Oryctolagus cuniculus: one gene and its partners. The protein of the gene in region 3 purifies or fractionates together with the protein of the main gene of each other region. This does not show direct contact. Links are inferred from orthologs where the notes say so. Each region holds a gene or a part of one and is shown on either strand. Other genes may lie near its edges.

Region 1 (6,983 bases), on a different chromosome or scaffold from region 3:
GCACTGTAGTAATTCTGGTTTTTGGAAAGAAGGTAATAATAATGTGAGAGAATAATATTCTTTTGGTAGTTTATTATACGTGATTCTTGCAGACTGAGAGACATGAAGGAAGACGCAGTTTGAGTGTCAGGTTCTTGGGTGTGCTTTGCTTCAAGCCAGCAGTCTTATCTCTGAGCCTTGATTGCCTGGTGTGTGAAGTGAGGAACATTTTCAATGTAAATAAGAAAGGAACTTTCTTTGATTATCAGTGATATTCCTGACTGTGAACTGTTTTCGTTCTCTTCACATCCAATTGCTAAGGAAATAGTGCAATTAACATCAACATATAGCCATCAGATTTTATTTTTACTAAACTTGAATTTAATCTCATTAATTATCAATAAAAGCATACATTATTTATTTCATATGTTTTGACATTATGTACTTCTGTTGGTAAGAAGAAATAGCAACTTTATATTGATTTTTAAGATAATAGGAATCTGTTTGCTGATGTTTGTGTTTTATGTGACCATCTTCTAAGTCACACAGAATTTTTCTCGAAGAATTAATTTTAAAAGCACAAGTATGCATTCTGGGAAAACAGAATTTCATTTTGATTTTTTTTCTGATTGGCAGTTTTAAGTTTTAGATCATGAGTGCTTTTTTAAAAAATGTGTATAATATGTTGATATTATTTTACGTAACCTCAAACCTGTCCACACAGATATCAGCAAAGGAAAAAATTTCAGAATGAACATTATGAAAAGATGTTCTATTGAATAACATTTTGGAGCCTGTGTGAAACATAAAAGTAAATATATTTGATGTATAAAATTTGAGAAATTTGGTAAAAATGAATTGAAAGCATCTAGAATACAACTGCTCAAAATACAGCTTATTTTAAAAATATTATCTTCTAGGCTGTCTGCAGATTAAGAATCATTCTGTGATCATATAATTTCCTGCATTTTTCCCTTAACATAATGTGATATATATATCCACATTTTAATGAACATGATATTTAGGAACTGTGCTAAATAAATTCCATTTTATCACTTCTTTTATCTTTAACATTTGTTTTATTTACATTTATTTTTACCTTTATTTTTTGCTTTTGTGGATAAAGCTGCCATGAGCATCCTCTGTATAATTTTTTTTCTGTTTTAGGATTACTTCCTTAGGATAGATTGCCAGAAGTGGAGTTACTGGGTCAGAGGGTATGAACTTAAGAACTTTTTCCTCTCCCCCCCAAAAATTTTTTTTGTTTACTTGCTATTTAGTTGCTTTATGTTCACTGTGAAAAGCGAAAATCACAATGATAATCACTGTTACCTTGTTAGAAAACTGTATCTGAAGGGCAGGATTCTGTCGTCAGAGAAGTTTAAGACAATTCCAGAGTAAAAAGGTTGTGTTAAGTTGATTTACCTCAGCATTTCCTGAAATTGAGCACTGAATAATTTTTTTTTGGTGATAACACTTCTTAACACTTTGTCAAAGTTTTACATAGTCTATAGTTTATGAGCTGTTGACCTAAAACTTAAAATTATTTTATTAGTTAAGTTAGTTTTATTAGTTATATTTTATTTGTTGAAACAAACTATAAAGAACTATTAAAAGAAGCATATTAAAATAAAGCTGTTTACTGTATTTATGTGTATGTCTTTATAAAGCCTCATAACTTTTATAATTTTATAATATCAACTTTCTATATTGATTACTGAAGAACATCTTGATGCCTCCATGGCACTGAATACTCTTTGCATTCTTTATGATATTTAGACTATAAGCATGAAACATAAAGGTAAAAGAAATTGGAGATTGTACAAACCTGTTTTTCCCCATTTTCCCCTGCAGAATGTGAAAACCTTTGCATCTTGTGATAGTTTGGCCAAGGTCCAAGAAGTAGCAAGCTGGCTTTTGGAAATGAATCAGGAACTGCTCTCTGTGGGCAGCAAAAGACGACGAAGTGGAGGCTCTCTGAGAGGCAACCCTTCCTCAAGCCAGGCAGATGAGGAGCAGATGAACCGCGTGGTCGAGGAGGGCCCGCAGCAGCAGCAGCTGAGACCAGAGGAGGAACACACTGCAAGGAATGGTGAGGTTGTTGGAGCTGAACTTAGACCTGGAGACCAAAATGATTCCCAGCAAGGACCCTTGGAAGAAAACAATAATCGATTTATTTCAGTAGATGAGGACTCCTCAGGAAACCCAGAGCAAGAGGAGGATGAAGAACATGCTGGTGAGCAAGAGGAGGAGGATGAAGAGGAAGAGGAGATGGACCAGGAGAGTGATGACTTTGATCAGTCTGATGACAGTAGCCGTGAAGATGAACATACACATAGTAACAGTGTCACAAATTCCAGTAGTGTTGTGGACCTGCCCATTCACCAACTCTCCTCCTCATTCTATACAAAGACAACAAAAGTGAGTGTATTCCATCTCCTATTAACTTGAGATACTTTGTGTATCTATTTTAATTGTCGTAGAACTTTCCTTACAGTTTTTGTATTATCGCAAACTAATCTTAGCATGTGTAATAATAAAAGGAACTGCTTTTGTTTTACAAAGGTATTAGAAAGTATTACAGATAGAAATACTAATACTGGCACAAACTTATTTTAAATGGAGAAAGGTAATTGATCCTGTTACAGTGAAAAATGGTTCACATCAAATTCCTTCTAAACTGTGCTCCCAGGGCAAGCGTTAGTGGGTTGTGTGGGAACAGGTCGTGTGGGGTGAGGAAAGTTGAGGCGAAACGTGATCTGTGTAAATCAAGTAATGAAGACTCTTTCACTGCCAAAGTGCAGCTGCTGTGTGGGCTGTACGCTGGTGTTTCTCCAACACATGCTACTGGAAGTTGCCTCACATTGGTTCTGGTTCTTTATTTGTGATTCGAAAATTATATACAAATCTTGACTGTCTGTGTTGATTAGACTTACTGAGTTAAAGTGTACTTTGGAAATGAACATTTTAACTTGAGTAATAGTTTTGCAGACACTAACATGAATAATGTTTCTGATGGTCCATCCACTCACTCTTGTTTGCTTGGTTTTTAATTTTACAGTGAATCATTGATTTGGCCCATAAATAATGTACAGTTTTAACATCATCTCCTTTAAGTATTTTACACATGTAAATTAATGCTTGCATTGCTGAATCATCACTTCAGCTTTTAAAATTCCTTCTAAAACATATTTACGCCTGAATTCCCTGGCCTATCTGCAAGTTACATGCCCTGCTAACAGCTCCAGTCCTGTTTGTTAGTAAAGCTGAGATCATACATAGCGTAATATCCCCAGCTTTCATCCCCAGTCTGGATCTAGCTTTGTTAAATTGCTGTATCAAAAGAGGCCATTTACACACACACGCACACACACACACACGCACACGCAGATACGCCCTTTCTTCCCCCCTTCTTTTCCTTAGGGCTTGGGAGTGGGGTTTAGTTGTGTGATGTTATCTAAGGAAGGAGTCCAGTCACACCTCAGCCTGGCTGAGGCGGTCACTGATTTCTCCTAGGAAAAAGTGACTAGACAAACTGTATCTTTTTCCTACATCATAATATTCTGTTGAAAAATGTTATACAGACTTACCTTTTCTTTACACTCAGGATGAAATCATAAGTATAACTTAGCTGTATTTTAATAAACAATGTATACTGACTTTATGGTAGTTTTTCCTAGTGATTCTATTATTATTAACAAGTATTTGTACATACAAGACAACAGGAGTGGATCGGGAAACCAGCAGTGTACACACTTTTGGTACATTGTTTATCATGAGGTCATTTGCCTTCATACGTATGGCACAGAGAATAGAAAGCTTCTGCATTGCAAAGCACTAGTGCCCTTCTTCAAAGTAGGATCTCAGCCTGAAACTGACTTGTCTTTTCTTTTTCGTTCATTCCTGAAACTCTTCTTCAGGATTGTTCCCGGAGTATGTAATTTTTCAACAACACTTAAAGTCATCTGTTACTGCATTGCTTAAGAAGAAAGTGTCAGTCACCCCATGTATAAATCTCTGGAAATGAAAAAAGAAACTCTCACTATTTCAAGTACTTTGTTTTGGAAGAGCTTTGAATTCTTGATCATTATAAACATAAGACACTTCTACAGATCTTGCTGTAGGGCAGCTTATTTAAGTCTTCACTTTAGGAAAGAGTAGAAACATAAGAATCATCTTAAAAATACCATTTTTAAATGTAAATATAGGATTGACTTTCTACAGTATTACACAACATACTTTGCAAATTTTACTTTCTGGCTGTTTTCTTTTTTTTTTTTTTTTAAGATTTTATTTATTTATTTGACAGGTAGAGTTACAGACAGTGAGAGAGAGACAGAGAGAAAGGTCTTCTTTCCATTGGTTCACTCCCCAAATGGCCACAACGGCCAGAGCTGCATCAATCCGAAGCCGGGAGCCAGGTGCTTCTCCTGGTCTCCCATGCAGGTGCAGGCCCCAAGCACTTGGGCCATCCTCCACTGCACTCCCGGGCCAGCATTGAGCCCTGCACCAGCATTCGAGCTGGCTACCCAGTGGCTGCACTTGAAATCCTTCAAAGGCTCTCTAGGATACTTGGAATAAAATTCAGACTGTGGTATTTGATTCCAGGTCATTTTCTTTTCTTTTTCTTTTCTTTCTTTCTTTTTTTTTTTTTTTTATTTGACAGATAGACAGTGAGAGAGACAGAGAGAAAGGTCTTCCTTCCGTTGGTTCACCCCCCAAATGGCTGCTACAGCTGGAGCTATGCCGATCTGAAGCCAGGAGCTAGGTGCTTCTTCCTGGTGTCCCATGCGGGTGCAGGGGCCCAAGCACTTGGGCCATCCTCCACTGCCTTCCCGGGCCACAGCAGAGAGCTGGCCTGGAAGAGGAGCAACCGGGACTAGAACCAGCACCCATATGGGATGCCGGCACTGCAGGCTGGAAGATTAACCTAGTGTGCCATGGCGCCGGCCCTCTGGCAGTTTTCTTAAAAAAAAAAAAAAAAATTTGGACAGCTAGACATATACATTACTCCTGAATATGCTTCTTATGCAAATATGATGTCAATGAAAAAGATATTGGCTCTAACTTGCATTTGTTTCTTCTCTGAAAACATTGAAAACTCAAAATTCTGAGCACAGTATTTTTAACCCTAGTAATTTTATATATATATATATATTTTTTTTTTTTAAAGATTTATTTATCTGATGGGGAGAGTGACAGGGAGAGATCTTCCATTTGCTGGTTCACTCCCCAGATGTGCCAGGGCTTGTCCAGACCAAAGTCAGCAGATGGAGCTCCATCTGCATCTCCCACTTGGGTGGCAGGGGAAGGTATCTTCTGCTGCCTCACCAGGCTCATCAGTCAGGAAACTGGATTAGAGCTGGAGAAGCTAGAACTTCAGCTGGCACTGTGATACGGGATGCCAGCATTGCAGGTGTCAGCCAGGCTCACTGCACCACAACACTGGCCCCCTAAAGGTTTATTCTTATGGGAGCCCATAGCAAACAGTAAATATTAGAAAATCCAATTGTCCTAATATTAAAAGTCAAGAGTAATGGTCGTTAGGAATTGCTGTTTAGGGACGAGTGTTTGGTTGAGCAGTTAAGATACTCATTAAGACGCCCTGTCCCTTTTTCAAGTACGTGGATTCAGTGCCTTATTATGGCTTCTGATTCCATTCAAGTACTAACCAGGCCCGACCCTGCTTAGCTGCTGAGGTAGATGAGATCATGCGTGTTCAGGGTGGTACGGCCATAGGCCTGGCTTCTAATTCCTTATTCCTGCCTGTGCATACACTGGGAGGCAGCAAGTAATGGCTCAAGTGTTCGAGTCCCTACCACTTGTATGAGAGACCTGAATTCAGTTCTCAGCTCCTAACATCAACCTTGCCAGGCCTAGCTGAGCCCAGCCCAGCTCTGGCTGTTACTGGCATTTGGGGAGTGAGCCAGTGAATGATTTTTCCGTCTGTCTTTCACTGACTCTGGAACCAATTTTAGAAGAAGCAGAAGCATCAGAAGCAAGATTTGCCATTTGTTAAGCCCATACTGTACAAGTTCCTGTGACACACAGGTAAATAGAGAGTCCAAATGATTCATCCCAAATCATACCATAAATTATGAGAGATTTTGTTGTGCAGAATTTCAAAAAATTTTCTTCTTTTCATGTGCTATGCTGCCCCCTATGGTGGAACTTGGCAAACATTACTAAACAAAATATTTTTATTGAGGATGTGACAGTTGAGGGTAAAGTTGTAACAGGAAGAAATGATAGTGTAAACAAAGAAATCTGCAACTGGGTAACAGAACTCACTCTCACTAGATTCTGTTAACTATGCTTCTTAGCCAGGATTGTGTGTTGGCTAGTTCTCTATAAATTCATTAGAATGTCTGTAAATTTGAGAGCCAGTTTGCTTCTCTCCTTGTCACAACAGACAGAGGTGCTCAGCTTACACTGCAGAAAACTTGACTTAGAGCAGATGCGGGGAGCCATTTTTCGTCCAAGAGCCACTTAGATATTTATAACATCATTCATGGACCATACAAAATTATCAGCTTGAAAATTAGCCTGCTGTAAATGCATTGAATTTCAGGTCCTGTGGTTGCCATGGTAGGGCCAGACCAAATGGTTTCCTGGGCCTCTTAAGGTCCATGGGATGGACATTAAACCCATTTTCTACTAACAAGAAAAGCAAACAAGATTACTGTTAGAGTAGGTCTTGTATCCTCCTGATCTTTTCATGAAAAGAAGCATGTTTGAGCACTAGTTTCTGATGCTTCCATATTGTCTTGGTGCCTTTCATCTGCTCTCATGGAACTTCATTCCTCACCTCAAATTAGTCTGCTTTCCGCCATCCTGATTGTTAGGTTCCTTCTGACAACTAAGTAGTTTCTCCTTGTCTCCAATAAAAAATAAGCCCTGTTAAATAGATCTATTCAAAGAAATAATGTGTCTTAGTGGATTGGAATCGAGGGGCCCAAGGGCCTCTCTTTGTGGGTTCTAAACAATAGAAGAATCAGGTACAA
Region 2 (7,452 bases), on a different chromosome or scaffold from region 3:
TGACATCCAACCCAAGCCCTGACCCGGCGGCCCACACTCAGCACTCGCTCTCCTGGACCATGCCCCCTTCTGAGACACCCCCCCATGCTCAGTAACCCGCAGTCTCCTTACATGCGGTACGTAACAGGTGACTTTATCCTGCAAGGGCCATTTGCTCAAAATCAAACACACAAACCCACTTTTGTTCCAAAAGATGAAGTAAATCAATGGTCACAAAATTAATGAAATCAGAACAAACCCAGAATCCAAAAAGCTGGAGCGCAAAGCTATGTGTCAGTGTTTAACTTTGTGACTATGATTTTAAAAAGACGAGCACTATGGCTATAAGGTTCCTGATAGCTAAAACAAGAGAACCAGGGGCCGGCGATGCAGCATGCAGGTAAAGCTGTCCCTGCGACTGGCAAACCATACAGGAGTGTGTCCTGGCTGCTCCACTTCCAATGCAGCCCCCTAGAAAGGCCTGGGGAAAGCAGCCGAAGTTGGCCCAAGTGTTTTGGCCCCTGCTACCCACACGTCGGAGACCCAGATGGAGCTCCTGGTTTTGGCTTGACCCAGCCCTGGCTGTCGTGGCCATCTGGTGAGTGAACCAGCGGATGAAAGATCTCTGTCGTATCCCTCCCTCTCTGTAACTCTTTCAAATAAATAAATCTTTACCAAAAAACAACTAGTGCCTGGGAGGGCCTCTTTGCCTTTGCCTGGAAAGGCAGGAAGGACTGGACGTGGGGGTTGAAACTCAGTCCACTCTGCAGGATTCTCATGCCGACCGAATGCTGCAGAGGTCTCGGAAGTGTGCAGACCGAGGTGGGCACGCAGACATTCGGGATGCAAAGCACGCACAGGCTGCCTGGCTACTGCTGCCTTGCCGAAGCCAGCAGGGGCAACAACCTCACCTGATTCTGCTGCGCAGCTGGGGCGGGCTTCCCCCGCTCGAGGAGGGCGTGGGCTCCAGTTCCCTGGGGGGCCCATCTCCCAGCCTGGCCACCCGAAGTGCCCATGTCTCAGCTTCCGGAGCCAGCGGCTGTGGGAGAAGCCCTGGGGGAGGAGTAAGCAGAGGCACCAGGCAGTGAGAGGCCGGGAGCCCCTGTCACCCCCTAGCCCCAGCCCAGGCCCACGGAGAGGGGCTGCTCACCTCCAAGTGGCCGAAGGGGCTGGGGAAGGCGAGCTTGCTGTGCTCCTGGTGCAGGCCCTTCGCCTCGCAGGCCCCGCACAGGTCGTAGTCCGGGCAGACACTGCACTTGTAGCGGGTTCCCACCACGGGCCCATTGCAACCATCGCAGATCACGTTGGGGTGCACCATGTTGCGGGGCGCCTCCTGGGCACAGGGCGGGCGGTGGTCCCGCCGGCACTCCTTCTTCTCTGCAGGGAGGTGGGGAGCCTTCGGGTGAGGCCCCAGCAGTCTTCCCCCTCCGGCACCACTGTGGGGCTGGGACTACAAGCTGCTGGGCCCGCCCTCCAGCCCCCAAGCCGGCTCAGCAGACAGCATCAGAGCAACACGGGAACCCGCTGCGGCGCCGCGTCCGCACCTTTGGTGGTGCTCCTCACCCACACCCCCGAAACTGCCCAAGCCCGTGGCTCCGGGGGAACACGGAGCCCTCCGCCCCGCACTGCCTGCAGAGGACAGTCAGGGCCTGTTTTACCCAGTGGGGAGCACCCAGCTCCCCTATTCCCTTACCTTTAATATAAATACGGAAGATGTCATCTTTCACGTAGCACATGGCCATCGTCAGTTCCTCATCACTGGAGAAGGCGACCAGGTCCCCGTCCTCATCTAGAGAGTCAACGCAGCACGTAAGCACCGCAGCGGGGGCCAAAGGAGCACTGGTGGCCTCAATACTCAACTTGCCACCTTCTTATTTATTTTTGAGACATGGTAGACAAGCAGAGCTCCTATCAAGGGCCGGGACTGGGCTGGGCAGAAGCCAGGAACTCAATCCAGGGCTCCCATGTAGGAGGTGAGGACCCAATTACTTGAACTTTCACCTACCCCCTGCCAGCATCTGTCCTGGCAGGAAGCTGGAGTCGGGAGCTGGGATCCAACACGGGCCCCAGGTATCTTAATGGGTGAACTAACCACTAGGCCTGATGCCCACCAAGGCCACTTCTTTAGGGGTGGGGCTGGACAGATCGGGGATAAGAAGGGAGCCTGCCCATTCACTGGACAGGAAGTGTGCCCGCCTGGGCCTGAACCTGGGCCACGGTCACACCTAAAAGGCAAAGTTTCCGCGTACACTACACGGACAATAACAGTGCCCTGTCCCTCAGAGGCCCAGCCCGCCAAAGGCTCTGGGCTGTCTGCAATGTTTAAGTGGAGATGAGCCCAGAGGCCTGCTGCTTTCTCCAACGAAGAAAAAAGGCTGAGTCCTTCTATGTTGGCTTCCGTGATTTTAAAGCATTGCCACACAGACCAGACCAGACCGCACCGTGCACAGGCTGCAGGCGGGGCCTGGACTTGGGCACCAGAGGGCAACATCTACCCTCAGAGCAAGAGTGGCACTTTTGCGAAACAACCCAAAAGTCCATCAACTAATGACACAAACACGATATGGCATATCCACAAAAGAAACGAATACAGATGCAGCCTACACCTCTGATGAACCTGAACGCATTTCCCTAAGGAAAGAAGCCAGACACAAAGCTAAACTGTACAACCCCCTCTCCACCACTGTCCAGAAGAGGACGCCCAGGAGAGAAAGCAGCTCAGCGTTGCAGGAGCTGAGGGAGACAGGTAAAAGGCATGGGGTTCCAGTGGAGAGGAAGGGGTTCTCATGCTGACTGCCAGCGCCTGGCCCCGCTCTCCAGCCCCAAGTCTGCTCAGAAGTTCCAACTGGTGAATGTGTTAAAGACCACTGCATCGGGGCAGGCATTTCTGCAGCGGCTAACTGGCAGCCCGGAACACTGGCAGCCCATATGAAAGTGCCTGGTTGGAGTCCAGGCCACTCCACTTCTGATCCCGTTTCCTGCTAATGTGCACTGGAGGAGGCAGCAAAGGATGGTTCAAGTGCCTGGGTTGCTGCTACCCTCCTGGGAGACACTGATGGAGTTCAGGCTCCTGGCCTGGCTGGGGCTGGCAGCTGTAGCCATTGGGGAGTGAACCAGCAGATGGTAGGTTGGGGTGTGTGTGTATGTGTCTCTCTGCCCTTTCAAAATGAAATAAAATTTTAAACCCTTGAATTATATACTTTAAATGAGTAAATTTTATGGTATGTGAATTACAGCTCAATAAAATTGTCACCAGGAAATTAAAAAAAAAAAAAATGCTGGGCAAGCTACTGAGGGCGGTCCCAGCCCTGCTCCCTCCCAGGGGCGGGCCTTGGCCGAGGACCTCCCTCCCACACTGCTGTCCCGGGACCCCACCCCCAGCAGCAGCTACCGGTCTGAGCAGCGCAGCCAGAAAGAGCGGTGGCTCCGGGCTTGTCCCCACTCTGAGTTTGTGGAGAACGTTTCGACATCGGCCGTCTCCCCACTGCCTTGTCCCTGGGCGACCTGCGGCCTACCCCGGGCTCAAGGGCCCTGCGTCCCCCAGCCGCCCACGCCCACCACCCACTTTCAGGGCTCGCTGAACGCAAACCTGGCGCCGGCGGGCCCAGCCCCGGCAGCAGCAAGATGTCAGTGTAACCCGAGTGCCCGCCTGACCACCTTCTCAGCCCAGGGCCAGAGAGGACGCCCCGGCGCGTCCTTGGCGAGATCTGCAACATTATGGCGGGGAACAGGAAGCATCTAACGACCCAAAGTCCCCAGCCCGCGGGGCCTGATCGCCTCGGCCCCTGAGGGACAGGGCCTGGGTCACTGGGCTGGCACCCGAGGTGCAAGTGGGGTACGCGCAGGTCACCGCTCACCCAGAGCGCGACCAGCACAGCATCCCTTCCGACGCAGCCGGCACCGACTAGGAAAGGGCAGCCCCGGACCCCGGCCACCCCCCGGCCCGCTCACCGCGGTAGTGCGCCTGGAAGCCGCCGGGCCGCAGCGCCGGGAACAGAGCGGCCACCCGGGCCAACAGCCGCTCGCAGGGCCCGGGGCCGGCCGCTGCTTCGGCCTCGGCCTCCGGCTCCGGGCTGAAGCAGAAGCTAAAGCGGCGGATCTCGCGCGCCGCCTCCTCTTTGCCCAGGAGGTAGGCCTTCACGGTGAGCGACGCCATCGCAGCCGGAGAACGACGAGCAGCTGCGCAACCGAGGGAGCACCGGAGGAGGCGGCGGCGGTGGCGCCAGTGGCGCGTGGCTTTTGTAGGGCACGCGGAAGCCCCGCCCGACGTGGACTCCTGGGGGCGGAGCCTGCACTCTTCGGGTGCCGCCCCCCACCGCCGGGGCCGCCTCTCGCGAGTCTCCCTGCCAGGGCCCCGTGCCTGCTTGCCCCTCTCCCCGCTGCCCTTTGACATGGTCTACCGCTCTCAGTCTGTCCCCTCATTGCCCCCAGGGCACCGGAGACCCCCAGAGCAGGCCTCAGCATCTGTACCTCCTGAAAGGAATGGGCTGGGGTCCTGTCCGAGGCCCCTCTCCGGCTTGGGCCTGGCTGTGACTCAGCAGAGCAGGTCCCTGGTCATCAGCAGGGGTTGCCCAGCACAGGACAGAGGAGGACACACAGAGCCCTCTATCCCAGGAGGCATCTAGGCTGCCCAGTGGGCACCACCAGCCGGAACCAGCTGGCTGCTAGGGTACCCTGCTGCCCTGCCATGCGTGACCCCCAGAAGGCAGCCCTACACCAACCACAGCCTCCTGCATGAGCGTCCCTAGCTGTCCAGGGCCGGCTGGCCGGCTCGTCCACTAGCGACGGCAGTCAGTCACCAAGTGCTGACTGCAGCTCAAAAAGACACATGGACGCCCCCAGCCCTGTGAGCCCAGCAGGCTGAGCCTGACGCCCCAGGCCCTTCCTCACCATCACCAGGAATGGTTGATCAGGGGTCCTTGTTTTAGCACAAGAACTTCAGCCATGGGACAGAATAGCAGCAAGCGTGCTGGCCAAGTCTGATGAAAAGAATGCACCTGACAGAGTAGGCGGGCATCTCCATCAAGAGCTGAACCCACCTGCTTTCAGACTGGGGTTTCTATGGATACGGGTATAGCCCTCTTTCTCCTCTCCCCTCCCCTCCCCTTCTGGGACACGTCTGGGGGAAGGGCTTCCAGAGTGTGGAATTCCTGAAATTCCTCCCAGAACTTCATCAGCAGTATTATTGGACCTAATAGCCACACACACACACACACACCCCCCCAATGCAGGGCAGGGATTTCTCTAAGCTGCCCCTGGGAAAAGGCTGGGACCCACTCAACAAGGTTATAGAAGGAGACCAAGGCTCTTTTTTTAAAAATGTGTTTATTTATTTTACAGGCAGAGTTTTGGATAAAGAGAGAGGTCTTCCCTCTGCTGGTTCACTCCCCAAATGGCTGCAACAGCCAGAGTTGAACTACTTCGAAGCCAGGAGTTCCTTCCAGGTCTCCCACGTGGGTGCAGGGTCCCAAGGACTTGGGCCATCCTCCACTGCTTTCCCAGGTCATAGCAGAGAGCTGGATCAGAAGAGGAGCAGTCGGGACACAACCGGTGCCCAAATGGGATGCGGCGCTGCAGGTGAAGGCTCAGCTGCTGCGCCACAGCACTGGCCCCACCTGAAACTAAGACTTTTGAGATGTAAATACTGCTCTGCTTCCCAGGCTTGCTTCTGTGGTTCTTCCCTCACCCAGCCACACAAATTCCCATTTCTTCCCTCTCACAGATGCAGGCTGCCTAACAGACCTGTCAGGGCAGGGGGCCAATGCAGCAGGTGCCTGCCTGTAGGGCCTCAAGAGTGTTGGCCACAAGGGCGGCCAAGGGGATGGGACCAGTCACCTTTCAGCTGGGAATCCAGAAACTCTGCTTCCTGGGACCAAAGTGACCTGTCTGCAAGGCCTGGGGGAAGGCGCTGGGAAGGGAGGTGTGTCACCCCCCCCCCCAGACCTCCCAGGCAGGTCCTGTGACTAAGAGTCAGCCCTGTTGGGTCAAACCCCCCCCCTTTCAGGTCAAGTTTGTGGGAGCAGCTTGGGAAGCCCAGCGATGAGGGTGGGCTGGTTGGATGGGGGTTAGGCAGATGCACAGGTGGCCAGGCCACAGGAGTAACGGGATCCTGCCCAGCGAAGCCAGCCAGGCTCCCGTGCCAGGAGCAGCCTTGGAGAGGCTGGTCCATGATCCCTGCCGCTGTGAGCCTTGGGAAAGTGTCCCTGGGCCTGCTGGCCCCTCTGCCCCAACACAGGGTCGGGAGTCCCGCCAGTGAGGGGCGTGCTGGGCAGAGGCTTCGGCCTGCGGCAGGTGCCAGCCAAGCGTGACTCAGCAACAGCAGCCCGAGCGCCACGGAGCCCAGGGGTGGGCCGCCCGGCTCCCCTGGGTCTGAAGGCGGCCTCAGGTGGACCAGGGCTGTCAGGGAGCGCTCCAGGGGCCGCCCTCCTCCTGCATCCCCCACCCCCGCCAGGACACCGGAGCCCACCAGGCCGCCGCCAGGAACACCTTCGTTCTCTCGCGGTTTGGCCCCGTTTGGAACCGAGCGGGGCTTCCCAGCGAAGGGTGCAGAGCCTGGGGGGAGGGGGGACTGGAAATGGGACCCCGGGGAGCCGGGCTGGAGACCCCTACCCAGCGGGCCTTCCCAGCATGCCCTGCTGCTGCGAGGGGCGGGGCGCCCTCTCGAGCCGGCGCGGAGGTAAACAAGGCGGTGGCCGGCGGGCCGGGGAACCCCCTGCCAGGGCCCTCTCAGGCTGCCTCCGCAGGGTCAGGTGGTCCGGCCCGCGGTGAGTCAGCGTCCCATGACCCGCCGTCACAACAGGGGGATCCCCGGCCCTTCGCTCGTCTCGGTGACCGCCTACCGGACGGGCCCCAGAACACCAAACGGTCCTGGCCCCTTTCCGACCTCTGACGTCATCCCCCTCCCCTAGGTGCAGGGAGCCCCCACACCCCCAGCCTCCTGTGAGTCCACGTCCAGGGCGCGGGGAGAGCCTGGCGCTTGCGTCAGCGGACCACCTCCGGGCACGCGACCGGACTCAGTTGTCCTTATCCCCGAAATGGGGCCGCCTGGGAGAGCTGGCACTGCCCCTCCGCGGCCGCGTCCCACAGGTGTGCTAACGCTTTGCCATCCTTGGAGGTGTAAGCCGGAGGTTCGGGGGGTTCTGGGAGCAGAGCGGAGCGGCCACAGGACTCTGCTGCTGTCTGCTAGTTGTCACCACCTCCCTGGTTCTCCCCTGCTTCCTTCCCAAACAGTCCCAGCCCTTAGCAAGGGTTTCTGAAGTCCCGCTTCTTTTCTTAGGGCGCAGCGGCTGCTCTGGGTCATTCTTCCACAGGCTGAGGGTCATGGAGGGCAGAGCCCCTGCGGACCCCCTTACTCTGTGGGGATGTGGTCTCTGGGGCTTCGCGGCAGCCTCTCCCCACCTCTCAGCCACACCCCTGCCCCGCCCCCTAATCGTGTCAACTCCAGGCGCCTGGAGACTCTTCCCTAGCTCTTCC
Region 3 (6,093 bases):
GTGCTCAATAAAAAGGGAACATGGGAGGAATAAATGCTTCACTTTGGAACTCATTACGAACAGAAAGCCGCTCAAATGCATGTTTTTAAAATTCTGATGTCATTTATTGGCACAAAAATTGTTCAGATACAACATGGTGTCTAGACATGGCTACACTTTATACTTTGTGCATTTAGTCGAATATTTATTTTGCTCACAATTCCAACACGTACTTGAGCTTTCCTCTCTGCTCAGCACCCGTGACAGCGCTGCCGACCTCCAAGGCCTTTCCTGGAAGCGTGGCACTCAGATCTCACGGCGCACGGCAGACCCGTGCCGGGAGGGCCAGTGTGGGCTGCCCTGCTGTGCTGTGCTCGCCCCTGCGTCTGCTCAGCCAGGCCGCCAGTGGCCCGAGCAGGTGCCCCTCCTGGCGGTTCCGGTCTCGGGCTGCAGCGTGAGCCGCGGCCTCACTGGGCCAGGCGGAAGACGCGGCTCTCGCACCCGTTTGGCCCATCTTGCGGAAGTCGCCACTGCTGGCCCCACACCAGTGAGGTAACGGAGGGTGGAAGGGACGAAGCCTGTTGCTTCCACTTCCTTACGGACCCCCGTGCTCGCCAACACGAGGCGTCGTGACTGCACGCAGTGTGCTGTGCCCGTGTTGAGAGGACGAGGCCGCCCGTCTGTCGGCAGGTGCGCGTGAGGAGTCCTCTTGTGAGTGAGTAGAACCCGTATCTAACGTTAAGGACCTCTGCTCCCCAGATCAGTGGCTTCTTCCCCGGGTGCCCCGTCCCACTGGCCCGGGGACCACAGCAAGCCTGTGTTTCTGACAGTCATTCTTCAACAGCAGCTGGAAAGTTGGCTCAGACCAACTTGGAATATACAGTAGTCTTTCATGTACACTTAGAACATTTCACCAAGTCGAGCTTCCTGGCCAGAGCTCGCTTAGTGGAGGCGTACACTGAAGTAGAGAAGCCTCAGGAGAAACGCTGTGCGCACGTCTGGGCCTTCGGTTACCAGAAAGGACACCTAGGGAGGCAGGCAGAAAAGGAATATTTTAATAAGCTCAGCTCCTTCAAAGCTTCCCCAGTTACCCTGACAAGGGCGAGACAGAGGTCTGACAAGCCGCATTCCCTGAGCTCTTCCACAGCTAATTGCATGGGACACACACGTCCTCCTCTCATCCTCGGCATGGGGGGGGGGGCGCACCCCCTGCGGACACTTCCTGCTGCCTCCAGGCGCGCCTCAGGCAATCACTCCAAGTGCACCCAGCTGGTCCTTGAGGCGAGCCTCCTAGGTCATGAATCTGTCTTTTCATCTCTCTGTCACTGCTCTGGCTTCTTCGGCCTTGCCTGTATCTGAATTGCAATGACTGCAAAAATCCAAGAAGGACTCCTCAGGCCCGGCCTGTCCTCCTACGCCATCTCTAACTGTGATTTTGTGTGTGTGTTTGCCTTCCAAATGTGCATGCCTATGTCTCAGTTTTCTTCCCGTTAGAACAATGAGCACACAAAGTGAAAACAGACATCTGGAGATGTGAGCTCCTAAATGCCCATGACAGACACCCCACCCAATCTTCCTCGGCTACCCTGGGCCCGGGTGGGGTCCTGCCCGTGCACTGTTGCCAAGGTACTCTGGGATGCCTGCTTACCAGCCGATGTAGCACTGGCAGAGGTTCTCATGGGACGTGGCTTGCTTGATGAGCAGTTCCACTTGTGTTGGGACGTCCAGAGTGTCATCGTGCGAGAAGTCCCGACCTGGGTGGAGAGGCACAAACACTTTAATCTGCACCTGGTTACCACGCACCCCGTCCTCCGGCACAGCTGTCCACGCAGCCCATGTCAGCGTATCTCACACGCCAGCGTGGAGGATACACCGCAGCTGGATTTAAAAATTCACTAGTCTGCTTCTCCTAACACAGACTTGGTCCACTGAATATCACGTCCTGAGCTGGCTTAGTTCAGAAGTGGGGTTGGGAGGATTCAGAATATTCCAAAGTCCTCTGTGAGGTGGACAAGTGCAGGAGAACACCCACTCGGTGTTAATGCCGGGAGCCCGCTTCCACTGGAAAGTCAACACCTCCCGCTGCGTATGTCACAAGACCACTTCACGTCCTCTCTGCAGCCCCGGATGTCCACACCCCTCCTTCTGCCTCGCCCTCAGCAGGTGCCCCATCTCCAGCCCGGCAACTAATGCATTACACAGGGTTCTGGGGCCCCAGTGTTCGAGTGCGTGTTGGAGGGGCTGGATTCGCCTCCCCCCCCCCACTCCGTCCTCCGCCCTGGAGAGCTGCCTCCTCCCTCCCACTGAGGACCTGGCCCCGCCTGCTTTCCCAGGTGGCTCCTGGCATTGATCGTCCTTTCTTTCATACCGCACAAACTGCACAAACTCCCTCTTATCATACGGTGTCTTTCACACGTACTTGTAGGCAGGTGCTTCTCTCCCCCGCCCTCTCCCTGGGGCACACACTACTCGGCCTTTGAAGCTCCTCCCTTTCCTGACCACTTGGCGCTCGCGCTCTCTGCACCTGCTGCGGTCCGGCTGCTGCGCCCCACACCGCTCAGGAGTCACCGGTGCCTTGCAGCCATCCCGGAGCCTTCCTTAGCCCTCCTGCCCATCCTTTTTTTTTTTTTTTTTTTTGATTAATTAATTTTTATTTCACCTCCTCAAGACCTCGAGAGTCCATCCCCACCCCCTCCACGCCCAGTCTCATCAATGGTCCTGCTTTGCTTCTGCTCCCTTCTCCCCTCGAGAGCAGGCAGGAGGCGGGGTTTCACAGCGCAAACCTAGACCCTAGATGCTTTCCATCACCTGCCAGCTGACGAGGCGGGGGCCGAGGTCACAGGCTGCAGGGGGAGCGGGGGTCTCTGGCTTCTCTAGGTCCCACCCCTGAGTCACATCACCTCCTGGTCAGGAGGCAGATGACGGACATGAGCTGTCTCCTTTTCAAGAGTATGTGTCTCCCCCCCCCTTCCCTCCGTGACAGCTCTCAAAGCACAGGGAGTACATCAACTGATGACCAGAGAGAGAAGACGTAAACCTGCACGATGGAATGCTACTCTGCCGTAAAAAAGAATGAAATCCTGTCTTCTGCAGCAAAACGGATGCACCCGGAGACCACTACGCCGAGCGGAAGGAGGGACATGCTGCCTCTGTCCTCGGTGCTCTGTGCTCTAACGTACAGAGCACAGGGACACCTCCCTGAGAGGGGACGTGCGGGGCAGGCTGTGCTGTCTGCTGTTCCCTGCTGAACTCTGTATTCAGTGCAGCACGAAGCCTGCGTCTATAAGGTCAATTAAAAATGTGTTATCACAACAATTAAAGAAGGAAGGAAGGAAAGAGGAGGGAGGGAGGGAGGGACTGAGGGAAGTGCTGCATATCCTGAGAACTGTACCTTCAGGAAATCTGTTCTTTTTCTATTAATAAAAAATAAAAAGGGCAAAAGCCGAGCGGCAAGGACCCGGAGCGGTCAGAGTGGCTCCGGAGTGAATCAGGACAACGCACTCCTAGGAGCAGGATGAGCTTCACTCACCTCCTGAGGTCAGTGAGATCAGACTAACGTCAAGTTTCACTGTTACTGGTTACCACAAGACAGGGAGCGTGCTTAACGCATGGCCTCGCACGCGTTCCCGTGAGCCGCTCGGGGTCCGCGCTCAGCCCTGACCGCCAAGCAGGGAGAGGACCGTCTGCTCCCGCTTCATTCCAGGTCCACGCACACTCACCAGTGAGCTTATCGCGGACCCTGTTAATGATCTGAATGGCTTTCTTATTTAGGGCTTCTGGTTTCACCAACCCGTCTCCAACTGGAACACACAAAAGTCAAAACAACAGTAAGAATCAGACTGCAACGGATGCAGGGGGCTCCGCTGCTTCCCTCGAGTGTTCACTGTCGCCAGTGCCGCGTCTTCTGCGTCCTCAGGAGAGGATCAGCGGAGACGCCCCTGCTCAGAGGCTGCTGTGCGACTTGGACTTCCCGCTGTGGCCTCTCTGCGCGACACAGCAGTGACTCTCCTCCCAAGCCAGGCACCAGCCCGTCCCGCGGGGGAACTTACTGAAAGAATGAATGGATTCTGGCACTGTGGTCCCCGTTTTCTTATGGGCTGGTTCTCCAAGTTCTACACCGTCCAAAATTTCTAGGGGGAAAATCAATTAATGGAAAAATAAAACACCAACAAGCCATAACTCCCATCAGTTTTTTTTTCTTTTTTGAAAAATTAATTTTTTTGAAAAGCAGAGTTAGAGAGAGGGAGAGAGAGGTCTTCCATCCACTGGTTCACTCCCCAAATGGCTGCAATGGCTGCAGCTGGGCAGGTCTGAACGCCAGCTACCTCTTTTTCCCCCTTTTTAAATATTATTTATGGGGGCTGGCACAGTGGGTAAAACCGCTGACTGCCATACAGGCACCGGTTCCAGTCCCGGCTGTTCCACTTCTAATCCAGCTCCCTGCTAATGTGCATGAGAAAGCAGCAGAAGATGGCCCAAGTCCTTGGGCCCCTGCCACCCATGTGAGAGACCTGGAAGAAGCTCCTGGCTCCTGGCTTCAGCCTGGCCCAGTCCTGGCCATAACAGCCATTTGGGGGACTGAATCAGCAGGTAGATTTCTCACTCACTCTTGGTTTTTCCCCTTCCTTCTGTAACTCTGCCTCTTAAATACATATTTTTAAAAGTATTTATTTGAAAGGCAGAGCAACAGAGAGAGGGAGGGAGAGACTGTGAGGGGGAGAGAGAGCTCATTCAGCCGCTGGTTTACTCCTCAACACTGGTCTCCTGCATGGGTGGCAGGGGAAGTACTTGTGCCAGCTTTTGCTGTCTTCCCAGGCACATTTGCAGGGCGCTGGCTCAGAAGCAGAACAGCTGGGACTCCAACCGGCACTCTGATAATGTGGGGTGTCAGCACTGCAAGAAGTAGCTTAACCTGCTGTGCCAAAACACTGGCCCCAGCTTTTAATTCTTCATGTACTGGGGCTGGCGCTGTGGTGGAGTGGGTAAAGCTGCTGCCTGCAGTGCCAGGATCCCATATGGGCGCCGGTTCAAGTCCTGGCTGTAACTTCTTTTTTTCTTTGGCAGGTAGAGTTATAGATAGAGAGAGACAGAGAGAAAGATCTTCCTTCCATTGGTTCACTCCCCAAATGGCCGCTACGGCCGGCGTTGCGCCAATCTGAAGCCAGGAGCCAGGTGCTTCTTCCTGGTCTCCCATGCAGGTGCAGGCACGCAAGCACTTGGGCCATCCTCCACTGCACTCCCGGGCCACAGCAGAGAGCTGGACTGGAAGAGGAGCGACCGGAACTAGAACCCAGCACCCATACGGGATGCCGGTGCCGCAAGGCGGAGGATTAACCAAGTGAGCCATGGCACCGGCCCCTGGCTGCTCAACTTCTAATCCAGCTCTCTGCTGTGGCCTGGGAAAGCAGCAGAAGATGGCCCAAGTCCTTGGGTCCCTGAACCTATGTAGGAGACCTGGAAGAAGCTCCTGGCTTCAGATCAGCACAGCTCTGGCCATTGCAGCCAACTGGGGAATGAACCAGCAGATGGAAAACCTCTGTCTCACACTCTCTGTCTCTCTGCCTCTTCTTCTCTCTATGTAATTCTGACTTTCAAATAAATAAGTAAGTCTAAAAAAAGTGAAATATATATTTAAAAAAATTCTTTATATGTACTGTATTCCCCTTAACACCTGCCTTACCTACCTCAAATGGAAAAGGACAGAGGCAGCTTTGTGTTACTCTCTGTAAATTTAGAAGTTTTTAAATCTAAAAGCCATATTTAAATGTGAATTATTATAATTGAAGAATATGGTATTTATCAGAAATAAAACATGAATTTCCAAGCAAATAGCATTAATAAAATGTTCTGACAGAGAATGGAGTAAAGGTCAAAGGTTTGGTGACCAAACAGATCTTGCTGGATAAAAATGGACAATAATGTCAACACAATCAGCTTGGCAATGGGTTATACACGTGGTTGAAGTGCTATTTCTTAGAGAAACCTGCTATCCATTCTGGGTAGACAATGTCCTCAGATGTTGGGGTCTCCCACCACTGACTGTGGTCTTCAGAGGTCTTCCATCCACTGGTTCATTCCCCAGATGGCCCCAACGGCCAGGGCTGGGCCAGGCTG
Region 4 (7,476 bases), on a different chromosome or scaffold from region 3:
GGCACAGGGCCTCAGATCTGAAGATCTGGGCAGGCTGCGGTGAGCCGGTGAGCCAGTGAGCCCCCCGCTCTGACAATGGGGCTGATGTGAGGTCGCGGACAGGCCATCAGCTGTCACTCCACGCTCCCATGCAGGCCTGGTGCCCCCGCAGCTCCTGGCCCCAGATGGGACCCACGTCACAGCTGGTGGACCCTGCCTGGGCCCCTACAGCCTGGGGCAGGCGGGGTCCCCGCTGTGACCTGGGCCTGCAGCTCCGGGTGGGGCCGACCTCAGGGGGCCGGGCCCTCAGTGCCCCACTCGCCCTCTGCCTGGGGTGCCCAGCCCAGATCCTGCACCCGGGGGCGCCCTGCCCGCCACCCCGCCCAGAGCGGGCCCATCTGCAGGGAGCAGCAGCCGAGGGGAGGCCTCCATCCGCGGCCACCCCTTCCCTGGCCCAGTGCCCCTCACCGGCCCGTTCTCCTCGTCCGACGACCGCGCCTCCGTCCTCTTCTCCTTGAAGGCCCAGACGGGCACGGACACGGGCAGGGACTTGGCGTACTGCTGAGTGGGCAGGGCTGAGGCCGGGGGCACTGAGTGGGCTGGGGGGCCAGCGGGGGTCTCCTCGCTGAGGCTGCCGTCTGGAGGAAAGGCGCCCGTCAGCTTCCGTCCCCGCCCTCCCGCCCCGCCCGGGAGGGGCTGCGGCACTCACCGTCCGTGCTCTCGGGGTCCGACTCACAGAAGGGGGGCAGGTCCTGGAGGGTGGCGTCCTCGTCCATCACAAACAGCCCTGGGAGGGGGCGGGCCCCGGGCCGTGAGGGCCCCGCCATCACTGTGCCCACAGCACCCACCCCAGGTCACCCCGGGGCTGAGGGCCCCGCCATCACCGTGCCCACAGCACCCACCCCAGGTCACCCCGGGGCTGAGGGCCCCGCCATCACCGTGCCCACAGCACCCACCCCAGGTCACCCCGGGGCTGAGGGCCCCGCCATCACCGTGCCCACAGCACCCACCCCAGGTCACCCCGGGGCTGAGGGCCCCGCCATCACCGTACCCACAGCACCCACCCCGGGTCACCCCAGGCCGTGAGGGCCCCGCCATCACTGTGCCCACAGCACCCACCCCGGGTCACCCCGGGGCTGAGGGCCCCGCCATCACCGTGCCCACAGCACCCACCCCAGGTCACCCCGGGGCTGAGGGCCCCGCCATCACTGTGCCCACAGCACCCACCCCGGGTCACCCCGGGGCTGAGGGCCCCGCCATCACTGTGCCCACAGCACCCACCCCGGGTCACCCCGGGGCTGAGGGCCCCGCCATCACCGTGCCCACAGCACCCACCCCGGGTCACCCGCCGGGTCCCCGGCACACGCGGGGCGCCAGCATCTGGCTGCAGTCCCGCGACACCGCTCAGCCCCACGCGGGCTCAGAGAAACCGGACGCGGCGTGACCTCCGTCTGATGGAGATGGAGTCACTCGCCCGGGGTCCCACGGCTTACTCGTGACAGGGCCAGGCTCAGAGCCAGGCTGCTGGGGGGGGCTTCCGGGGCGAGGCGAGAAGGCCGCTCTCCAGGGGCACCAGCCACGCCCCCTCCCCCAGCCTCAGCTCAGGCCTCCGATTCCGTGGCTGAACCACTAGCCCCTCGCCTCCAAGGAAGACGCCCCGGAGCTCGGCCTGTGCCAGCCCCCGGCAGGAGCTGGCATGAGGCTCAGGGCGGGTCACACGGGGCCACAGCAAGCGGCCGCGGCTCCGGGGACAGGAGGGCCCGGGACCAGCCCCCGCCTCCCCTCACCTCCATTATCGCTGACGCCGAGCCGCTCCCCAGAGGTCTCGGTCTCTGTGGGCGCGTCCTCGTCCTCCTCGTCGTCCTCCCTGGGCAGGGCAGGCCGGGGCGGGCTGGGTGCGGGACTGGGAGGCTGCGGCACTGGTGGGGGCGCTGGGGGCCGGGCGGCGGCGGCGGCCCTGTGGGCCAGGGCGATATCGTGCAGGCAGCGGCGGGCGGCCTCGGCCAGCGCCCCCCGGCCGTGGGCTGCATAGGCGCAGGGGCCCGGCCGGGGCGGCGGCGGCGGCGCCGCGGTCAGCAGCACCAGCTCCGTGCCTGTGCGGGCCCGGAAGCGCTCGGCGGCCCCCACCACAGCCTCCCACAGCTCCTCCGGGCGCCCCAACGCCATCCGCGCCCTGTGGGCCAGAGCAGGACACGGGGGAGCTGAGGCCTGGCTGCCGCAGCTCCCGTCCACCCTGGGAGCCCACCCAGGTCCCTCCCGCCAGCATCTGATGCCCAGCCGAGTGCCAGCTCTGCCTCCGCCGGGCCTGACTGTCTCCTGTGGGGTCCAGTGGGCGGGGCGGGGCAGGGGCGTTTGCAGTAAGCAGATGGGGACGTCCGGCCGCGGCTGCCACGGAGCCCACGTTCCTTGTGGCACAGCCGTCCCCCCCCACCGTGACCCCAGCCCCAGGAGGGTCCTCCCGCACCCAGGACAAGGGCCCGCCGCCCCCACGGGCAACACTGGGCTCTCCCCCCAGCTCCCCACAGCTCTTGGCCAAGCTTCCCATCGTCCTGTCGTGGACGCAACTTTCCCTCTTCCTAAACTCCTGCTTCGGGCCCCCACGTCTGAGCAACACCGTCTCCTCGCGGGGCCTGTGGTCGGCGTGACTGGGGGGCCGCTGTCTGCCCGAGGACCACCCACCGCTTCTTGCTTCCTGCAAGGCTGGAGCGGCCCCCAGAGGCCCTCCGCGATCCCCACGCCACCCAGGCCCTAGGCTCCCTGCACCGTGGGCCCTACACCAGAGCCCTGCGTCCCCGGGCAAGCAGCCTGCAGGTGCAGCTCAGGGGGTAGGGCCTGGCCCTGTCTCTGTGTCGTCAGGGACTGGGGGCTCAGGCCCAGCTGCGGTCCGGTCCGCGTGCCCCTCGCAGCTCGGCATCCCAGAGGCCAGTGGGCCTGGCCCTGCCCTGTGCCCAGACCCCTCAGCTGGGCGCTCACCGACAGCCAGCGGCCCGGGCCTGCCCAGCACCGGGGTTACAGCACCCATCGGTGAGCCGCTCATCCGGTGGGAAGTGAGGCACCGGCCCGAAGCCCCAGGGTGGGACCGGGCGGCGTGGGCAGGGGGCAGGGAGGGGCTCGCTGACCGACGGCGCGCGGCTCCCAACACCAGGGAACAGGACCTAACCGGGGGGAGCAGCGACCGAGGCCAGCAGCCAGGCCCGGGGTGCGGGCGGGGGCTCGCTCCCCAGGGAGGAGGGCGGCTGGCCAAGCCCCCCCAGCCTGTCAGACTGGAAGCGGCCCTAACAAGGGGCACGGGGCACCCCTGCGCGGGCGGACCTTGGGGCCGCCGCCCCGCGACCTCCCCGCAGCCCCCGGGGATCCAGGCCTGACCCGCTTTCCCAGCAAAACAGGAAATCCCGCCCAGGTGAGGGCCAGGGCCGGAAGTCCCGCCTTTGGGCGGGTGAGGGGCGCCCGGAGCCCCTCCAACAACCCCCTCGGGCCCGTGGACGGGGTCCGCGGCCCAGGTGAGGACCCCTGTGGGTCCGAACACCGGAAAATGAGGGTGTCCAGGCTCTGCCTAGAGTCAGACACGACGGTTCTCGCGGGCGACCCCCCTCCAGCGCTCAGCCACGTGCCGCTGGGCTAGCTCTGCCCTCTGACCTATGCAGGCCATACCACTCCCGTGAGCCGGGCGCCTTCCCGGAGCCCCTCTGCCTCAGGATGGCCAAATCCTCCCAACACCGCGGTTCACAACGCCGCCTCCACTCACGTGCCCGTAGCCAGCATGGCCGGACAGGCGCCGTCGCCGCCCTCAAAAGGCATGGCGGCGGGCTGATGTCACTTCCGGGTGACTCCCCTCCTTCCTTATCTGGCTCGCCCGAGACCAAGATGGCCGCCATGGGGTTCGATCCAGGTCCGTGGGAGTGTTGGCCACAGTGGCTAGCCCACAACAAAGATGGTGGAAATGGCTTACCAGCTTAAGCCGCTTCGAGGAGCCCTCAGAAAATATGGCCGCCCACACATGCTTACACGTGACCACGAGAAACTAGGGAGGGCGACCTAACGTTCCTCACCCTTTCTTCCACAAAGTGGAAGTGGTGCCCGTTAACGACATGGCAACCAGCCTGGCTTCACCTGCCCGTCGTGTATATGGGCTCTCTCTCCCTCTAACCTATACCCCCTCCGAAGCCAAGGCTGGCAAAGACCCAAGATGGCAGCATTTCTCGCTTCGGTTTGCCCAGCTTCAACATGGCGACTCGGCCCGCTTCGAGGGTGACTCAGGAATTCGCCTGGGACAGCTTCGGTCCTGGGGACGCCGACGGCTTGGTCCCGTCGTACCGAGTCCGTCGGCTCTCGGGCGACGCACAGCTCCTCTCACCTTCTTTGCCTTTATCCGTTCCTCTTCTCGAGCACCTCGCTACCTCGCCCCGCAGAGAGATGGAACTGCCCCGCATTAACATGGCCTCAGGCTAGCGGGTACGGCCGTGCCCTCGAGCAACATGGCACCCCTTGGCTTCGCTGCCAGTACACAGTACGAAGCAGGAAGGGGGCGGTTTCAGGGAGACACGGGGAGGAGCCCCGGATCCTCCCACTTGTTTACTTCGTGGTGAGCACCGTGACACTGAGCCTGCGCACTCTCGCTGGCCAGCTCCTCTGCTAGAGTCCGCGCCATGTGACTCGCATCCTTAGAATTCCACCCCCCCATGTCTAAAAGATGGTTTCACCCACTCCTGCTCTAGAATGCATAAGGGCGCAACCACCGTGCGGCCGTGCGGGGGAGTCTCCCTTCCGGATATGACACTACGTTGACCCGGAAAAGGAGGAGGCTGGGGCAGCAGGATCTCGACCGAGGCTATGGAGGGAGCCGGCTACAGGGTAAGCACTGGGGGCGCATTCACTCGCTTCTGCCTATGCGAAACGACCCTGTCCGGTGATCTGCCTCTCCCCAGGCCGTGCCAGGGAGGCCCGGAACTCCACAGAGCCGTGGGAACCGGGTGTGGGAAGACCCTACCCCCTAGCCCCGCCCCCGGACTCTGGGGACCTTGCGAGCTCCGCCCCTTTCGGAGCGCGCGGCCGCCCTGTGGGCGGGGCCTCCACGCGCTGACTTCCCTGGTCCGCCCCCATCGGCTCCCTTCGGGGCCCCGCCCCCGCCAGACTCGCCCCCATTGGCTCCCCCCGGACCCGCGCCCATTGGCTCCCGCCGGACCCGCCCCCACGGCTCCCTTCGGGGCCCCGCCCCCTCCAGACCCGCCCCCATTGGCTCCCGCCGGACCCGCCCCCATCGGCTCCCTTCGGGTCCCGCCCCCAGGTAGTGTTCGAGAAGGGCGGCGTGTACCTGCACACCAGCGCCAAGAAGCACCAGGACCCGGACTCGCTCATCGCGGGCGTCATCCGTGTGGTGGAGAAGGTGGGCCGGGTGGGGTGGACGCGGCGTGCAGGGGGCCCGGCCTTGAGGGCGTCCGTGGCTCCCACTCGGAGGGCTGAGCCCCGGGACCTGTCCCACTCCCCCCAGGACGGCGATGTGCTGCTGCACTGGGCCCCCGTGGAGGAGGCCGGAGACTGCACGCAGATCCTGTTCTCCAAGAAGGTCAGTGTGCTGCGCCCTGCGTGCCCTGGCACCGCGCGCTTCCCCGGGGTCCAGTCCCAGGCCTGCCCCTGGGGCCCGGGGATGCCTGGCCGGGGCCCGGGTCCTCTCGGCCTCTGGGTGAGGTGGGCCGAGGACGCCCGTTGGAGGAAGGAGAGCGGAGGCCCGCCCAGGTGCAGAGGCCACTGCCGCCGCTCGCCCCCTCCCTGCGCCCCTGTCCGGCCCCGGGCGCGAGGCTACTCAGCAGGAGGTCGGTGGGCTGTGAAGACCCGGCTTCGTAGTAAGCCCATTGGCCTCAGTGATGGCCGTCACCGCACCCAGGGGCCTCCCCCGGGGCCTGGCAGCTGCCTGAGGCTGGGCCACGTCTCTGTCGGGCTGTCTGTGAATGCCTTCTGGCGTGGACACGTTCCCCTTGTCCTGGGCACTCCCCGCGGAGCGGCGTTGCCGGGCCTGGGGAGGAAGTGCCGCACCGTGTCCCCAGCCCGGCCCTGTTGCACGTGGCCGCCTGCAGCGTGTGGGGCTCCGGCGTCCCTGTGCGCCCGCCGCCGCTGGTCCTCAGGTCTCTGGTGCTAGCTGTCCTCGTGGGCACGGGGTGTCTCCTGCCATGGCTGCCCAGCTGCCGCCTGGGCACCAGGAGCCTCGGGTTCCAGTCCTGGCTGTGCCGGGTAACCCTGGGCAAGTGCCATGCCACCTCTGTGCCTCAGTTTCCCTACGAGGCTGCGCTCATACCTAGAAGCCATGAGTCCGTGGCCCCTCACTCTCTTCCTCTGCCCCAAGGACTCCAGTGGGGGCTACTCCTGCGCCTCTGAGGAGGAGCCGACTTTTGACCCCGGCTATGAACCTGACTGGGCCGTCATCAGCACCGTGCGGCCGCGGGCCCGGCCATCGGGGCCCCCGAGAGGTGGGCCGAGCTGGAGGCTGTGGGGGCCGGGGTGGGGGACCCGTGTTCTCAGGAGTCTCTGCCCCCAGTCCCAGGAGAGAAGAGGTGGCTGGGGGCAGGGCTTGTGGCTGTGCCCAACCCCCGGGCTTCTGGGTTGGCCGTGGGTGCATCACCTGCCGAAGTCCAAGGCAGAGGGAGGCCGGGGAGCCCAGAACCGGCACACCGCCACCGGGCTCCACTCCCCAGGCAGCGGGCGGTGGCCCAGAGTCAGGAGGCTGGGGCCCGGGGCCAGCTTCCCGTGCGCCCAACGCCGTGCCGTCCCCCAGGTGCAGAGCCCGGCTCCTCCCAGGGCCCCTGGGCCTTCTCGGTGAGCCTGGGTGAGCTCAAGTCCATCCGGCGGTCCAAGCCGGGCCTCAGCTGGGCCTACCTGGTCCTGGTGACCCAGGCCGGAGGCTCCCTGCCCGCCCTGCACTTCCACCGCGGGGGCACCCGGGCCCTGCTGCGCGTGCTCAGCCGCTACCTGCTGCTGGCCAGGTGAGCCGACCCGGGGCGTCCCCTCGGGGCTGGGGAGCTGGTTCAAGGCTGGGAAACGCAGGTGGCCCCGCGGCCCCAGGAGGTAGAAGGCATCTCCCCTGCCCCGGCACCACCGCAGGCCCACCTCTCACCGGCTCGGCTCTGGGTCACTCCCCCTTGGCCAGGGAAATGGGCGCTCTCATGGGTCAGCCCTGGGCCACACACCCACCCCTGCTGCCAGCTCCGCCCTCTGCCTGCAGTGTCACTCCAGGGGCGGCTGGGGTGCTGCGGATGGCCCCAGCCTGCGCTCCCTGTCCCCGTGTCCCCACCTCAGCCCTGGCCCCCCCCAGGACCCCCGCCTCAGTCCCGGCCCCCTGTCACCAATGTCCCTGCCTCAGCCCCGGCCCCCCTAGCTTCCCACAGGACCCCCACCTCAGCCCCCTGTCACCCCCCAGCTCCCCGCAGGACCCCCGCCTTGGCCCCGGCCCCCTGTCACCCGTGTCCCCACCTCAGCCCCCTGTCACCCCCCAGCTCCCCGCAGGAC

What was found.
Region 1: the proteins of MTOR (region 3) and FBXW7 purify together in Homo sapiens (affinity purification with western blotting; 9 studies listed by BioGRID and IntAct, with this or other methods). This does not show direct contact. The link is inferred for Oryctolagus cuniculus from reciprocal best matches to the Homo sapiens genes MTOR and FBXW7.
Region 2: the proteins of MTOR (region 3) and SQSTM1 purify together in Homo sapiens (affinity purification with western blotting; 4 studies listed by BioGRID, with this or other methods). This does not show direct contact. The link is inferred for Oryctolagus cuniculus from reciprocal best matches to the Homo sapiens genes MTOR and SQSTM1.
Region 4: the proteins of MTOR (region 3) and AKT1S1 purify together in Homo sapiens (affinity purification with western blotting; 8 studies listed by BioGRID and IntAct, with this or other methods). This does not show direct contact. The link is inferred for Oryctolagus cuniculus from reciprocal best matches to the Homo sapiens genes MTOR and AKT1S1.

The regions. Positions count from the first base shown.
Region 1 is NC_091439.1:12,127,497-12,134,479, forward strand, and holds part of FBXW7 (F-box/WD repeat-containing protein 7), read left to right. Parts: intron 1-1,146; exon of another isoform or gene 1,147-1,196; intron 1,197-1,833; coding exon 1,834-2,400; intron 2,401-6,983. UniProt on the Homo sapiens protein: Substrate recognition component of a SCF (SKP1-CUL1-F-box protein) E3 ubiquitin-protein ligase complex which mediates the ubiquitination and subsequent proteasomal degradation of target proteins.
Region 2 is NC_091437.1:67,651,026-67,658,477, forward strand, and holds the start of SQSTM1 (sequestosome-1), read right to left. Parts: upstream 4,734-7,452; 5' UTR 4,373-4,733; coding exon 3,931-4,372; intron 1,769-3,930; coding exon 1,673-1,768; intron 1,357-1,672; coding exon 1,130-1,356; intron 1,033-1,129; coding exon 891-1,032; intron 1-890. UniProt on the Homo sapiens protein: Molecular adapter required for selective macroautophagy (aggrephagy) by acting as a bridge between polyubiquitinated proteins and autophagosomes.
Region 3 is NC_091438.1:157,193,290-157,199,382, reverse strand, and holds the end of MTOR (serine/threonine-protein kinase mTOR), read right to left. Parts: intron 4,110-6,093; coding exon 4,029-4,109; intron 3,780-4,028; coding exon 3,699-3,779; intron 1,734-3,698; coding exon 1,628-1,733; intron 1,006-1,627; coding exon 990-1,005; 3' UTR 83-989; downstream 1-82. UniProt on the Homo sapiens protein: Serine/threonine protein kinase which is a central regulator of cellular metabolism, growth and survival in response to hormones, growth factors, nutrients, energy and stress signals.
Region 4 is NC_091449.1:7,693,723-7,701,198, reverse strand, and holds the start of AKT1S1 (proline-rich AKT1 substrate 1), read right to left. Parts: upstream 4,322-7,476; 5' UTR 3,855-4,321; coding exon 3,616-3,854; exon of another isoform or gene 2,953-3,615; intron 2,153-2,952; coding exon 1,767-2,152; intron 767-1,766; coding exon 689-766; intron 618-688; coding exon 448-617; intron 1-447. Other genes in the region: TBC1D17 (TBC1 domain family member 17), read left to right, coding at 4,810-4,830, 5,264-5,362, 5,468-5,542, 6,317-6,440, 6,746-6,953. UniProt on the Homo sapiens protein: Negative regulator of the mechanistic target of rapamycin complex 1 (mTORC1), an evolutionarily conserved central nutrient sensor that stimulates anabolic reactions and macromolecule biosynthesis to promote cellular biomass generation and growth.